Linked DNA regions of Alligator mississippiensis. The protein of the gene in region 1 interacts with the protein of each later gene in a biochemical or structural test. Links are inferred from orthologs where the notes say so. Each region holds a gene or a part of one and is shown on either strand. Other genes may lie near its edges.

Region 1 (7,597 bases):
GAACATCAAACAGACATCAGCTGCAGATAGGCACAAAGGCCACTGGGCAGAACACGTAAAAACTTCTCTGGACAATCCATTGCTGACCTCAGGGTAGCTGTTCTTAGGCAGCAAACCTTTAAAATCCAACTTGAAAACCTTTAAAATCCAACACAGACTAGACTGTGTTATGCTCTAAACAGGGATTAAGAATTCTTATCCCATTTAAATTAGTTTTTGTGATTACTTTGTTCCTATGGGTTCTTTTTTTTGCCTCTTCCAGCACTGACCCTCTCTAACTTTCTTTTGTATTCAAATCTCTTTCCATTCTATACACAGCTCTGTGGCACATCATTTCAAAGCATCTCATGAAATGAGCTCTAGCTCATAAAAACTTATACTCTTTCTCTAATTTAGTTAGACTATAAAGTGCAAATCTCTCTTGCCTTCTACCTGAAGATATATTTAATGTGCAAACGGAATAAAGTCCAAACAACAACAAAAAAGATATACTTGGATGTTTAAAAGGGTCAGTTTCACAAAACTGAAAACAACTGTGAACTAAATCAGCTGGGAAAAATGTATTGAAAAATAATATATGAATAATACTTGGGAAAGTTTAAGCCCTGAAAAATCACAGTCCTACAACTGAGAGAGGTGACTGTGGTTTAAAACCAACCTAGCTTACAAAAGAAATGAAAGCAGGTATAAAAAGAAGTAAGAAATAATGAATGGAAAATAGAAGAAAGACAGATCAACAAATATAAATCAGAAGCTAGGGGCTAGATCCATCTATTTGGATGCCTAAGCATGATCCTATTCCATCCTGCTTGAATCCCTGAAAAATAAGTAATGCAAAAGACAGATGGATCCTCCTATTGCTCACTGCTTTTTTGGGATTTAATTTTCAGGCTAGGATAACAACACATTCCAAGCATATTCACATTATCATTTTTTTCAGGCGCTTGAGAAGCCTGCAATAGGATCAAGCTCTTAAGCACTGAATAGACAGAATGGGATCCAGTCCAAAAATTCTAGAAAATCAATAAGGAAATCAAAACAGCACAAAGAGAAATTGATGGCCAACAGATTTAAAGACAATCGGAATAAATTCTAATAAGGGTGGCCAATCCCAACAGCCGATTATTAACCAGGTACATCAGGTACAGATCCAATTGCTGATATGCAGCCTAGCAGCTTGGAGAGCAGCATCTGGCTGGTAAGTCTGTTGGGGAGGGAAGGGGCATGGTGGGGCAGATCAAGGCCCCCTACGGTGAGGGAGAGAGCAGGGTTGGGGCTGGGACAGGGGCAGGCGCTGCCCAGCCGAGGCAGAATGCATGGCGGAGCCATGGGCTGCTTGTCCGGGGGGCGTGAGGGGGAAGGAGAGCAGTTCCTGATGCTGCGTTCACCCCCAGGGGAGTCATGTAGGGCATGTGCTTGGGGTGGGCAGGGATGGTGCTGGGAGGCAGATTTACAGGGGAGGTTGCAGCCACCCCAAAATTTGCCATGACCTGCCTTGAGCGTAGCCCCAGCCCCCCTCTGCCCCCTGCCAGTAAGAGGCTATCACAGCCCCTGGCCCCAAGCCCACAGCAGGCAGCCTGCCCTCATCCTGCACACAAATCTGGGGGGCACATGCCTCCCACGCCTTCCCCATGGGCGCACACATTGGTAAGGATCCACCCCTTGGCCCCTCACGCCCGCTGGGGCTGTCTCACACCCTGTCCCAGCTAGGCAGTGCCTGCCCACAACTTAGCCCCAGCCCCCACTCCCTTGCTCAATGTGGGAGCCTTGATCTGTCCCCCCCACACCCCTCCCCTCCCCCACATAACTCCCCCCAACAGACTTACCAGCTAGACACTGGTATCCAAGCTGCCGGGGTGCATCCCTGACTGCGTGTATGCTACAGCCACGCACAAGCACGCGACTTTTATCGGTGAAATTATCAGCAGTCGGCTTTTTGTAGTCAATAATGTCAATTTTCCTTTTATCAATGTCAATATGAGATGGACTGATATATTGGTGCACCTCTAAATTTTAAAACTAAATGCACAATGAAAAGATGCTTAAAAAACTAACTGCCCACTACTAGATGGAAATAGTAGAACTGTGAATAACACAGAAAAGAACAAAAAAGATATTTCTTGTCTAGATGGGAAAGAAAGCCAACATGGTATGAATACACCATCTACGATAAAGAAAATCTTTCCATTCCAATAGTCAGAGATGATCCAAGCAGGGTGCAGGGCCCCAACCCCGGATGCAAGGAAGCCAGCAGCAGATTGAGCGGCAAATGGGTGGGGGTGCCAAGTGGCCAGACATGTAGACGGCGGCAGCACGGAGTCACCACGGTCGCCCCACCTGGCTCCATGGGGACCCCAAAGCATAAGGCCCAGGGCAGTCACCCCGATTCACCCGCCCCCCTGGGACGGCCCTGCCATAATAACTCAGGAGAACATGAAATAGTAGCTACTAAATATTTAAATCAACAGTTCTGGATAACCTGCATCTATCCAAGAATCATAAACGGTGAAGAATTCTATTAACATTGATTTTCAAAAAATTCCACAGGACTGGAAAAAACTAATGCTCATATATTCAATACAAGTAAACAGGATGACCCACATACTGCATGCCTGACATCAACCTGCACAGCAAAGGAATGCTGATACACAACTTGATTACTAAAGGACTGAGGGAGGGTAATATGGTTCTGACATTTGTCATCCTTCCCTTCCACTCCCTAACTGCCACAGCAGTGCCTGGCACTGACATCCTGAAAACTGCCCTCCATGCTTCAGTCACGAAAGCCTCATAGACCCCTACATTACTTTTGCTCCTCTGGAGCTACAGAAACTTGTAATTTTGACTCTTGTTATTCCGCTACCTCTCACTCCCCTGCTGCTACAGGATCTTCAGGATTCCACATCCTGGGCAGTTGCTTTCCACCCTCCTGTTCCAGCACCACCATGCAACTGTCTGGCCCTAACAGCCAGACCTTTTCTGCATACAACCCAAGGACCACAGGACTGTCTCACCACAGCATTCCAGCAAGTCCCCTCTGGGCCTTCCCAGCCCTGGCTGCTGCAAAATTCAGACTCCTGCCCAATTCCCCCACAGCTTTCCTCATCTGCCAGGACACCAGAGAGCCCTCACCCCATCCTCTGCCTCAGAAACTTCCAGACCTAAAATCCCAACCATCACCAACTTCCCTTCCACAGCCCAACAATGTGGAACCTTGGCAGCCATAAAACCAGAGCGCTGCCCTCATCCCTCCCAACCCCAACATGGCCTGCCAACCCACTCCCCACCAGGCAGGAACCTCCTGGCTCTGACAACGGCCCTCTGCCCAGCAACTGACACAGAACCTCCTGCCCCGATGCCCAACAGCTGCCCCGGCCCTCCCTGCCAAATGCCGCAGAACCTTCCGGCCCTGACGCTCAACAGCTACCCCGGCCCTCCCTGCCAACTGCCATGGAACCTTCCGGCCCCAACGCTCAACAGCTGCCCCGGCCCTCCCTGCCAAATGCCACGGAACCTTCCGGCCCCGACACCCGACAGCTGCCCCGGCCCTCCCTGCCAACTGCCGCGGAACCTTCCAGCCCTGATGCTCAACAGCTGCCCCGGCCCTCCCTGCCAACTGCCGTGGAACCTTCCAGCCCCAACGCTCAACAGCTGCCCTGGCCCTCCCTGCCAACTGCTGCGGAACCTTCCGGCCCCGATGCCTGACAGCTGCCCCGGCCCTCCCTGCCAACTGCCGCGGAACCTTCCAGCCCTGACGCTCAACAGCTGCCCCGGCCCTCCCTGCCAACTGCCGTGGAACCTTCCAGCCCTTACGCTCAACAGCTGCCCCAGCCCTCCCTGCCAACTGGTGCAGAACCTTCCAGCCCCGATGCCTGACAGCTGCCTCGGCCCTCCCTGCCAACTGCCGTGGAACCTTTCGGCCCTGACGCCCGACAGCTCCCACCCACTCCTTGCCGGCTGCAGTACACCCCGATGGCCATGCTGTCCAGACAGCCATTCCTGCCCATGCCGCCCAACTCTTGGGCACCCCACAGGTGTTGGCACGCAACTTTTTTTTCTTTCTTTTTTTAAGGATTTTTTTTCGTGTTCTAAGCCAAATCAGTTCCAAACCCGTGAGTCATTCAAGGGCCAAATGTGACCCTAATTGTTGGCATAAGGTTGCGCTGTCCTCGCCTGTGACCCACGCACACAACCCCTCCCCGCCCGGAAAACGCCGACACCTTTCTAAAGGCTGTGAAGGGAGGGGGACGCAGCATCACCGGCTGCACGTGCTCACGTCGCGCCCGCCCGCTGCCCCGGAACAGAAATGGCGCGCCCTCAATAAAGATGGCGACCGGGTGAAGGTCGCTTCCCCCTGGATCCCTTCCGCCCGTAGTCGGAGCCCAGCAGCGGCCGGAAACAGCTGAGCGCCGGGCCTATTAGAGCGCGGCTCTCCGTCCCCGCCGGGTACTCGTCACCCGCAGAGAGACGAGCCTTGGCGGAAACAGCCGAGCGGCGCCCGGGAGAAGCCGAGCCCGGGGTGGGCGGTGCCAGGCGCGGGGCGGAAAGTGCCGGGCTTGGGCCGGGGCGCGCCGAGTGGCGAGCGGAAAGTGGCGAGCGGGCTCGGAAACAGGCGAAGCGGAGGCGGAAAGAGCCGAGGCCGGGGCGGAAAGAGCCGAAGCGGTGGCGGAAAGAGCCGAGGGGGCCGGCCGTTGCCGACACACCGCAGCGGCAGCAGCCTGGGCGGCCCCGGCCCCGGCAGCGAGCGAGAGCCCGGCCCCAACCCCGAGCCCGAGCCCGGCCCGGCGCCGGGACCCACCCGCCTGGTCCCTCCCTGCCCCGCCGGCCCGGAGCAGGCGGCTGCGGCGCGGCCCCCGCCCCGCCCTCCCGGCCCGGCGCCCCGGGCCCCCCTGCCCCCGCGGCCCGGCCCGGCGCGGCCCCGCGGCCCGGCAGGATGATCAAGCTGTTCTCGCTGAAGCAGCAGAAGAAGGAGGAGGAGTCGGCCGGAGGCACCAAGGGCAGCAGCAAGAAGGCGTCTGCCGCGCAGCTCCGCATCCAGAAAGGTGCCGGGGCCGGGCCGGGGTGTCTGCCCGCCACGGGCCCAGCTCCCACTCGCGCTCCCAGGGCAGGCCCGGCCTGGTCCGGCCCCGGGGGCTGGTGCCGGTCCTGCCCACGTGGGGCGGCCTGGCTGGGGCAGCAGTCCCCACCCCCTCCCCGGAAGGTACCGCCGGGCCCCGCGCGGGGATTACCCCCCACCGCCCGGGCTGCCTGACATCCACGCTTGCCTTCCTGGCCTGGGCCGCGGGTTAGACCTCGCCCGCCTTGCCCCGGACAGTGCGGGATTCCTGTTCTCCTGCCTGCTGCGGGCCCTTCCCTGGGAAGGGATGGGGGGAACCAGGGGTTGCCGCCCACCTGCCTCATGCTGGGAGCCACCTTTGGACTGTACCCCCTGTAAAGGGCTTCTCCCAGTGGGGCCCAGCTCTCCTCCCAGGTGTGTTGAGTAGCCCTCAGCGCCATGCTTGTGGGGCATGGGGCTGAGAGGGCCATCCTGGCCCATTGGGACCAGTTCCCTGCAGTTCCAGGCAAAGCCAAGAATTCCTCAGTGTCACTGCTTCAAAACCTGACACAATTGCAGGGTATGACACCAGAGACACCATTCAGCCTGCCGATGGTGAAAGCAGGGGAGATGAGTGATAGGCATAACTTGTTAACATTTGTTCAAAATATCCTTGGAGAAGGATGCTACCTTCTCACAGTCCATGCTAATCTGCCTAAGGAGAACTGTTCCTTCATGACCCCAAATTTGGCAATTGAACCGATTTTTCTGACTGGAAGAGGAAGATCCTCCAGTCAAAAACGTCCTGGCTTTCTGAGTACTGGCAGAGATGTAAGCACATCAATCAAATACCCCCAGCCTTAGCTTTCATTTGTGGAACCTCATGTTGAGCCCCACTGGCCATCTTCTCTCTTCCTGCTCTCCCTGCTTTCCTCTCCAGTGTGCCCCTTGGATTATGCACCTGCTGGGCACCCATGTTACAGCTGGGGTCTGCCTTAACACGGGACCTGGATCTGCCCCATGCTGCCATGTTGGCCATTGCTACTACCTTGGCACATCTTGTGATTTAAGAGCTGAGAAGCCTCTGTTATGCGACCCCTAAGAGCCCTCTGGTGATATGCCGTGCAGCACAGCTCCTTGCACCTTTCTTCATAGCAATATTAGAGGTCACCCAGAGAGCTACCATTTGCCCCCACTTCTGCAGTGTAGACAGGACAGCAAGAATCCTGGGTAGTGCTTTGTTCATGGTCCTGGACCCCAGAAAAGCTATTAAACTCCCATGGTTCAGGGGTTTGTTCCTGGGTGTCAAGATCTATTCCCCACCATCGGAAAGGTTGGTACTGAGACTGGAAGCCCTGGTGCCCTTTCTATGTTGATCTTTGTCCTTGGTTCTGTTCCTTCTTCTGCGCTAATCACAAGCTGGATTGATTCCTTCTTGCATCTCCAGTAGTTTTGTGGCAGTCGATAAACCCAGGGCTTGCATGGTTCTTGGTAATGAAGGCCAGAATCTTGGTGACAGGGTTTAAATATGACCTCTCCCCTCTTCCAAAATGCCCCATCAAGGACCTAGTGAAACAGAAAAGTCTAGCAGTGTCAGTCTTGTCTGTAGTTTCTGATTAGCCCTGAAGCTTCCCTGATATGTTGGTCTTCCCTGAAACATCCTGTACAGAGGACCAGGCCTAGTCCCATATGGGTCCTTTTTTTTTTTTTTTGGGGGGGGGGGGGAAGCAGTGAAATGGGGCTGGTTCTTATTAGTTTTAGGGTATGGTTGATGCAGAGGGTTGGGGTATCCTTCAGGAGGCGAAGAAGAATGGAGAACATAGGTTCTCCATCCTGGATGTTTGACCACTGGGGTAAACCTTCTTCAGTCTCTGGCCACTAGTTAGTGGCGTAAAGAACAAAACTGCTTCTTAGCACCTAGAGGTGGGATGACAGGCCTTCATTTAATAGGCTGCTGGGAAGAGATTACAGAGACTAGGTGGGATAGCTCGCATGATGAGCACTGTCATGGATGGGTTCAGGAAGGACAGGCAGGGGAGAACAGGAGGAAGAAGACTTGCACTTTATGTAAAAGAGCCATATGATTGCTCAGAGCTCCAGTATGAAACTGGAGATAAGCCTGTTGAAAGTTCTGGGTTAGGGTCAGCGGAGAGTGCAACAAGGATGATGTCATGCTGGGGGTCTGCGATAGGCCACCAGACCCGGAGGAAATGGTGGATGAGGCTTTCTTCAAACAACTAGTGGAAGTTTTCTGATCACAGGCCTTGGTTCTCATGGCGGATTTCAATCACCCTGATATCTGCTAGGAGGATAATATAGCAGTATGTAGGCAATCCAAGAAGTTTTTGGAGAGTCCTGGGGACAACTTCTTGGTGTAAAAGCTGGAGCAGCCAACTAGGTGCTGTGCTTTTGTTGGTCTGCTGCTCACAAACAGGGCAGAACTGGTGGGGAATGTAGTAGTAGATAGCAATTTGGCAGCAGCAACCACAAGATGATCAAGTTCAGGATCCTGAGGAAAGGAAGGATGAAGAGCAACAGAGTAAGGACCCTGGACTTCAGAAA
Region 2 (7,785 bases), on another chromosome or scaffold:
CTGCCTAGTGATTTTAATTGATTTGATTTGATTTCAATCAAATCCATCCTAGAATCTGGGTTCAGGGAAGTTGTGCACTCTCTCTATATATGTTTCTTACTTAGTCTATAAAGGTGTATAACTAAGGGTGCAGTGATACAGATTTTTTGGGCTGATACTAACGGCCAATTATTAATGAGCCATATCAGCCGATACCAATCCCATCACTAATATGCAGCCCAACATCTTAGACAGCAGTGTCCAGCTGGTAAGTCTGTTGGGGGAAAGGGGCAGGGAGAGGGAAGAGGTGTGCAGTGGGTTGCAGATCAAGGCCCCTGCAGTGAGGGAGGGAGTAGGGCTGGGACAGGGACTGGGCGGGGGATGGAGCTGTAAGCAGCTAGGGCGGGGGGGAGGGGGGGAGCAGCTCCCTCCGCTGTGCACACCCCAGGGCAGGCATGGGAGGCACATATCCCCCAGATCAGTGTGCGGGGCAAGAGACCAGGTCAGCACCAAGCTCTTCTCGGCGGGGGGGCGGGGGGGGGGGTGCTGGGCCAGGGCTGTGCTCAGGGTGGGTGGTGGCAGCGCCCCACATTAAACCTGGGACACTGGAATGCCCAATCCGTTTCCTTTCATCAAGATCCTTGGCAGGCTGCCACTGTGCATGCACTGAGAGCGCTGCTTGAGCAGATGAAGTCACATGAGCAGAGGTCCTGGGAGAGAATCCGTCTTGTCCACAGCACTCTACGCACACTTGTCACCACATCTGGAGCCAACAGCACTCAAGATTCCCTGGAAGCACAACTCAGAAACTCCAACAATTTGGAAATGTGAATGCACTGGCTTTTCTACCTCATAGTGGCCCTCAAAGTTGAGGAGAACAACAGTATATGGAATAAGATACAACCATAGGCAGAGATAGAAAAAAAATTGGAGGGAGGGGGTGCTGAGTGTGTGCAAGCATGTGTACCCCCCCGCAAAAGTTTGTGGGGGAAGGGGGGGCAAGAAGCAAAGCTGGGGCTGGGGCTGGGACTGGACAGAGATTGGGGCCGGGGCCTACTGCACCCATGCAGCCGTTTCTCCACACCAGCCCCAGTCACAACAGGTAATGGACTACATTAGGGGCCCAATCTTATGAAGTTCCCAGAGGCTCAAGTGAGGCCAGCCTTGACTGCGCTGCCAGATCAGAGGGGACAGAGCCCCCAGGACACCCACACCTGCCCTGGGAAGAGTCCAGTGACTCCTCCAGAGCCATGGCACCAGGCCCCCAATCTTTGCACAGGGCAAGGGTGGGCTACAGCTGCGCTCTGCCTGCTCCCCACCTCTGCACCTCACTGCAGCCTTTGAAAGCGGCACAGCACCATGTGCGTCCCACTCCTGTGCAGGCCAGGCAGCGAGGCACATGGTGCCGCTTTCAAAGGCTGCAGCGAGGTATGGAGGCAGGGAGCAGGCAGAGCGCAGCTGCAGCCCGCCCTTGGCCCCGTGCAAAGATCAGGGCCATGGCTGCCCCCCCACCACCTTAGCTATCCTGTGCCATGGCTCTGAAGGAGCCGCCGGGCTCCAATTGTCCCACAACCCAGCCAGGGCCCCATTCACCGTGAATGGGGATCCATCTGGGCAAGTTGTAGGGCAATCAGAGCCCAGCAGCTCATCCTGGGGTGTGGCACAGGGGAGCCCTGCAGTGAATTCAGTGGCAGGAGCCACCCTCCCACACCCCTATACAAGCCGCTGGGCTCCTGTTGCCCCACAGCCCAGCCCAGCTGGGGCCCCATTCCCCGTGAATGGGGACCCAGCTGGGCCAGGTCATGGGACAATCCCCACAGTGCAGCAGAGAGCGGGGCAGGGGTGAATGATTTGCCCCTGCCCTTACTCCACTCCCTCCTACACTGTGGGGGTTTTAAGCTGCCTCCCCCAAGCCCAGGCAGTCAAAAGAAATGTACAGGCATGCTGTGCTGGGTTGACTGATCCTGGCATGCTTCTCCCCCCTGCTCCAGCAGCCTGTGGCTGGGCTGCCCTGGTGTTTGTGGGGGGCTGAACCTCGTTAGCCCCCCCCCCTTACACCACCTATGGATGCAACCTGCTATGCTGTGGGGGCCACTCTAGCTGGTGCAGTAGTGCTACTGGTCCAGGCAGATGAGCAGTGACTGATGGGAGCACATTGTCCTGGCCACCTAGGATGACAAGCTGTGGCACATGAACTTCTGTATGACCTGGGCAATCTTTATGGAGATTTGCATTGAGTTGACCCCCCAGCCTACAGTAGTAAAATACCAGGATATGGGAGACCCTTGACCATGGAGAAGCACATTGCCATCGCTGTGTGGAAGTTTGCTACACCTGACACTGTAGGGAACTACTTGAGCATTCAGAAATCTACAGTGGGGGAAAATGCAGTTCAGGAGGTGGGCTTGGTATTCAAGGATGTACTAGGACCACAATTCATCCACCTTGCCAACCCACAGGTGGCTGTAAGGACTTTCCCAACCCCATTACCGTTTTTGGCATCGATATCACTAACTTGTCCATGGACACCGAGCCAGTGACTAAACCAGCTGCAAGGGTGTCTTCTCTGTGGTGCTGCAGGTAACCATAGACCTCCAGGAGAGTTTCATACACATGAATGCTGCGGCAGTGGGGGAAAGGGGGGGAAGGGATTGAGCAAGGGTCATGATGCCAGGGTATTCTACAACTCTGGACTCCCTGAGCTCATGGAGAGGGGGAAGTTTGCCCCTGAGATTTCCAGTCCCTGAGATTCCAAGCATTGAGGTGAGGAGTGACCACCCCCACTGCTAACTGAAGACCCAGCATACCTGCTCCACCCCAGGCTCATGAAGCCTTACACCTTCTTTACCTACTTTCTCAGCAGCTGCTGCATAGGTGTGGGGTATGTCTGTGTGTGCCTCAGGGACCACTGGCAAACATTAGGAGTCCACTTGGATGTAACCCAGTGCTGTCACCTCTACCTGCATCCTTCATAACATTTATGAAACCAAAGGAAAAATTTTCCATGAAGCCTGGGCTGAGGATGCATGGGAGCCGGCACATCACCAGGTTGCCACAGCTCTGGAGCACCCAGGGAGTCAGGAAATGCTCGAATGTGCTGGTGCAAGAAGCCTTAGCTATTCCAATCCCACAGACTTCAGACCCATGAAGGGAATGAGTAGGGGTTGGTAACCTGGGGCTGGGTATATTTGCAATTTTCTGCTTCCCCTTCTCACCTACACAGGAGTTCCATGAAGACCAATTGCTTGCAGATTACTGAGCCCTGTGTGGTGGTACCGAAACTGGGGGCAACCAGTTGTGGAGTCGGTCCCAAAGCAGCTGCCACCCAGGAAACAGAAGCAGGGGTCCGGACAGGCCACCAATACACAGTGATACCTCCACCCCAAATAAGCCTGCCAAGTGGGGTTCATGGCAGGCAACTGAAATGAACTAAGTGGCTTTCCAGGGAAAGTCTTCTTAAAGCAAGCCCTTGGGGTACCCCCACAGCACCCAGTTCCCCAGGATCAATAAGCAGGGATCCAGATAACCCCCCAGCACCTTATGACCCCCCCACCCTCACCCCCAATGAACCTGAGATCCTGCTAAGGGGGGGGTCCACTGCAAGCCACTTAGCTAAGCAGCTTTCCAAGTGGAATCCTAAAGCTGATTTTACCCAACCTATGGGGCAACCCTGGAGTAAGGGTGCATGCCTTAGCCAGCGCAAGCAATGAATGTTTGGGCAGTAGTTCTTTTGCCCTACAGGGGTTAGGCTAGGGTTGAGGAGCAGTGCAGACTGGGATGCCTGGAGGACTAAACAGACACCAGTTATGGAAAGCTCACAGTTCCCATAAAGTCAATTCATCGCAGGCCAGATTCATAAGAATTGAAGTGCTCCATCCTAAACCATCCTGGCAGGTGTGTCTGCTTGCTGGCATATTAAACCACCTGCAAGACAGTCCAAGCATCGAGCCTGTCCATGCCATGGCTTTGCTCCAGTGGGCTGCCCCAAGAGGACGCAAGGAGGTTTAACACCACCACTTCCTGCAGGCCTGCGTAGCTTCGCCATCGCTCCTCCGGTACTCGGTGAACCTGACTGCCCACCTCCAGGCACTGCATGCAGCTGTCTAGGCCACCAAGAGACGCTGCTCGCCTGCAGGACAGGGCAGGGTGCTGCGACGCGCCTCTGTCCTGGGCGGCAACAGCTGGAGCATCAGGGACTCCCGGGCCTCAAGGCGTCCCCTGGCCCCTCCCCAGGATCTCCGTGGTCTGCACAGAGGCCGGAACCGGCCACCATGCCGGGCCTGGCCCCGGCTCCCAGCACAGGGACAAGGCCAGGCGGCTTAGGAGCAGCACTGCCAAGTCCGGGAAGGAGAGAAAAAAAAACAAACAGCAGCACTGCCTTTAAGAAGAAGCCCAACCCATTTCAAAGAGAGGGGAGTGGGGGGGGTCGCTCCTCAGCCACCGCTCTCCAGCAACTAAAGCACCTTTTCAAGAAGACAAACCTCAATTCCATTTATTCTAAGATTTGGCAACCGGTTTAATAGCATGGAGAGGGGGCGGGGCCTCCGGCAAGGAGGCGGAGCTCGCCGAACCCTCTCCCACTGCTGGTCCCGCCCCCCAAGGCGGGCTCCCCGCTGGCCCCGCCCCCGCGCGCTGTCACTTCCTGCTCGGGGGTTCGCGTCCGGGTCGCACTGCCGTTCCCTGGAGCCGCCGCCGGGTCCCCGCTGCCCGCTCGTGTGCGGCGCGCGGCTGCCGCCGGCCGGGCTGTGAGGGGCGGGGCGGGGCGGGGCGGGGCGCGGCGATGCCGGTGAAGAAGAAGAGAAAGTCGGCGGCGGCAGCGGCGGCAGCGGCGGACGAGACCGGCCTCAAGAAGTGCAAGCTCGGCAGGTACCGGGGGCGGGGGTGGGCCAGGGGCCGCTCGGGCTCGTGCTGCGGGCCAGGGGGCGTGTCGTGGCCCCTCAGGGCCGTGCCCCCAGCGCCGCCACGGAGCTGCGGGGCCTCCGCGGAGCATCGTCCCGGTGCTTCGGCTCTTAAGAAGCCTCGGAAGGGCTCTTGCAGGGGGCGAGCGGGGGACTGGGGAGGCCAGGAGCCGGGTAGAGCCGTCCCGGGGGACCAAGATGAAAGGGGGGGGGTTGGTTTCATTTTTGACATGTCCAAAGGCTTGCAAGAAGCAGCTCTCAGGTGCTGCCCTAGGGTCGGTGTCCGAAACCCCACGAGATTCGTTTTATGGTCACGTTTGTTACTACTTTTTTTTTTTTTTTAATCTTAAATGGACGGAGATGTTATTGCAGTGCATGCAGCTCATCACACCAAGCACCATCTTGCAACTGGTTGAATAGTCTCTCTTTTTTTTCTTTTTTTCCTACTGAATTTTTAACATGAGGCACTGGAAGACCAGTACATGCAGCATCTCGCGGGGATTCTTCTTTTCTCAGTTTGACACGTCTCATTTTCAAATTGAATCATGAATCAGTCACCTGGTTCCAAATCCCCTTTGTCATTTTTCACCTTTTTTTTTTTTGCAGGGGGTGGGGCAGTGTAGCATAAGCTGAAAAGATTAAATTCAACACTTGAAACTCAAATCACAAGTGCTATAGTTTTGTATTAGGGTAGAGATATGAAGACAAGTTTTAAATTACCCCTGGCTGCTGTTTGAATTGCAAGAGTTGTTATTATAAAATAGCATGATGTCAGCTCCAGGGTAGAGGGAACTGTGCACATCCCGGTGACGCTGTAGGAGAGTTCAGGCTCTTAGTACTTGCATTGTAGTGTTGCTTGTTATGGTTTGTTACTTCTCTCCATACATATACAAACCCTATGACTTCTTTAAATGAAATGATAATGTGAATGATGTGGACTTTAAATTGAAAAAGTGTGTGTAACTGGAGTATTTGAATATAAATAGCCTGAATTTCTTGTTGAGCTCTATCGGTCCCATTGATTTAAGTTTGATTTGTGCTGCTTAGTGCTTCTGAAAGCCACTTGCAGTTCAGTATCTGTAAAACTGATAACACTTGGCGCACACATATGACATACGATGTCTAACTGTAGATATAAAGATGCACGCTGTTAATGTTAGCTTGACCTAATAATAAATAGCTTGAAATTCATTGTACAAAATCTTTTTAAACATGAGGAACAGTAGATATAACATCTTGGGTATCTTTGTATATTTCTATAAGCTATTGCAGATCACAAGCCTCTGGTAAAGTGATAAGTGGAGAGGAGCATTTTTCAAGCAAGAAGTGCCTGGCCTGGTTTTATGAATATGCAGGTATGAATGTAATAGCAGCCATGTTTAAATGTTAATATGGTTTACTGGGAATGGTTAAGCTGATTTAACTAAACAAATTTAACTAAATGTATGCCTCTTCACATTAATATTTTTCTGAATACATAGACCACAGGAAGCATGCAGATTCATATTTCTTGAATAGTTATGTTTACCCAGCTTCTTGTGTATCTCTTTCTTTTCCATCTTTGTCCTTTCTTTCCCACTTAACCAACACTTCAGTTACCTTAAGTAAAGTTACAGTAATAGGCAACTGCTCTTACACTGTATAGTGGTGATTCAGATATGTGTCCTTCCTATTGATTTTTTTTTTTTTGGTGCAGGTGGGTAGTATGGACATGGTTCCCTGTACAGTTTCATTGCATTCAGTTTAAACAAAATTAAACTATGCAGTAGATGAAACAATTAGGGGAGCCATTAAATAGTTAATAATTCTGTCCTATCTTGTTTACACTACAGCAAACTGATATTGGCTTATACTTATTAATTTTTGTGCAAATCTGTATATAACTAACATCTCAAACGCCAAAGGATTGTTACAAATATGTTAAAAGAAGCTCTCCTTTAACTGTTTTGTAACTAATTGTTCATCTTAACAAAAGTATCTCCTTTGCATAATTTATTAAACACTCATGGGGAGAAGGGTGGCTTTTTGTCTCCTGTTCATTAACAGTTTCCAAGGCCCAATTTAATTGTTTAATGATTTGCAGAGCCTTCCTTTTTTAGGCTGCTTGATAAAATCTATCATAAATAGTTGGATGACAGGATGTCATTGCTAGCCATTTCCAATGAGTTCGTAATTTTTATTGGGTAGAAATTGGATCAAGCATCTGCATCAAAACTGACACTAGTTAGTACTCCTATTGACAGCTTTTCCAGAAACGAAGTAGTAGTAGAACTACCCTTTTAGCCCTAACAGTGATACCTCCAAAATCAGGTTTGAGGCATATTAGCTTGGACTCTCTATCTGCCACAGCTTTCTTGTGAGGAAACTAAAGGATTTCAGTCACTTGGGCTTGTGGTTAATAATGGTTTTGTATGAACTAAATGCAAATGGCATTTAGTTTTTATTATATGGAGTCTTGGGGTATAAACGGATGTTGCCTTAGTGCCGCCATAAAATCTTTTATGGTGGCACAAAGGCCAAGCAGACAGACTTCCATACCCCTTGTCACACACCACAAATGCCCAAAGTTTGTGGCTGTGACATGGGTATGTATGATCTTATGCAACTGTTTTGAAGCCAACCTCTGTTTGTTTTAAGGCAGGAGAGTGCAGGCAGCCTGGAGCTGCTCTCACTCTCCAGCCACCCCAGGCAGGTGCCCCCAGAGCTTCAGGGGTCTGATTCTGGCATGCCCTGGAAATCCCCATTCCTGGGGCATGTGGGACCAGGCCTCTGAACCCCCAAAAGCTCATGTCAATGCTCCAGTACAAAATCTTATACTCTGGCTGATCAGAACAGTCCTGGGGCTGGGATGCCAGTGTGTTAACCTTGCTCATGTGCATCCCAGCACTAGAATGCCAGTCAGCTGACT

What was found.
Region 2: the proteins of UBE2M (region 1) and DCUN1D5 form a complex in vitro, tested with the Homo sapiens proteins (3 studies listed by BioGRID). The link is inferred for Alligator mississippiensis from reciprocal best matches to the Homo sapiens genes UBE2M and DCUN1D5.

Annotation. Positions count from the first base shown.
Region 1 is NC_081828.1:75,598,486-75,606,082, reverse strand, and holds the start of UBE2M (NEDD8-conjugating enzyme Ubc12), read left to right. Parts: upstream 1-4,470; 5' UTR 4,471-4,933; coding exon 4,934-5,042; intron 5,043-7,597.
Region 2 is NC_081824.1:441,125,985-441,133,769, forward strand, and holds the start of DCUN1D5 (DCN1-like protein 5), read left to right. Parts: upstream 1-4,652; 5' UTR 4,653-4,759; coding exon 4,760-4,845; intron 4,846-6,140; coding exon 6,141-6,232; intron 6,233-7,785. UniProt on the Homo sapiens protein: Contributes to the neddylation of all cullins by transferring NEDD8 from N-terminally acetylated NEDD8-conjugating E2s enzyme to different cullin C-terminal domain-RBX complexes which is necessary for the activation of cullin-RING E3 ubiquitin ligases (CRLs).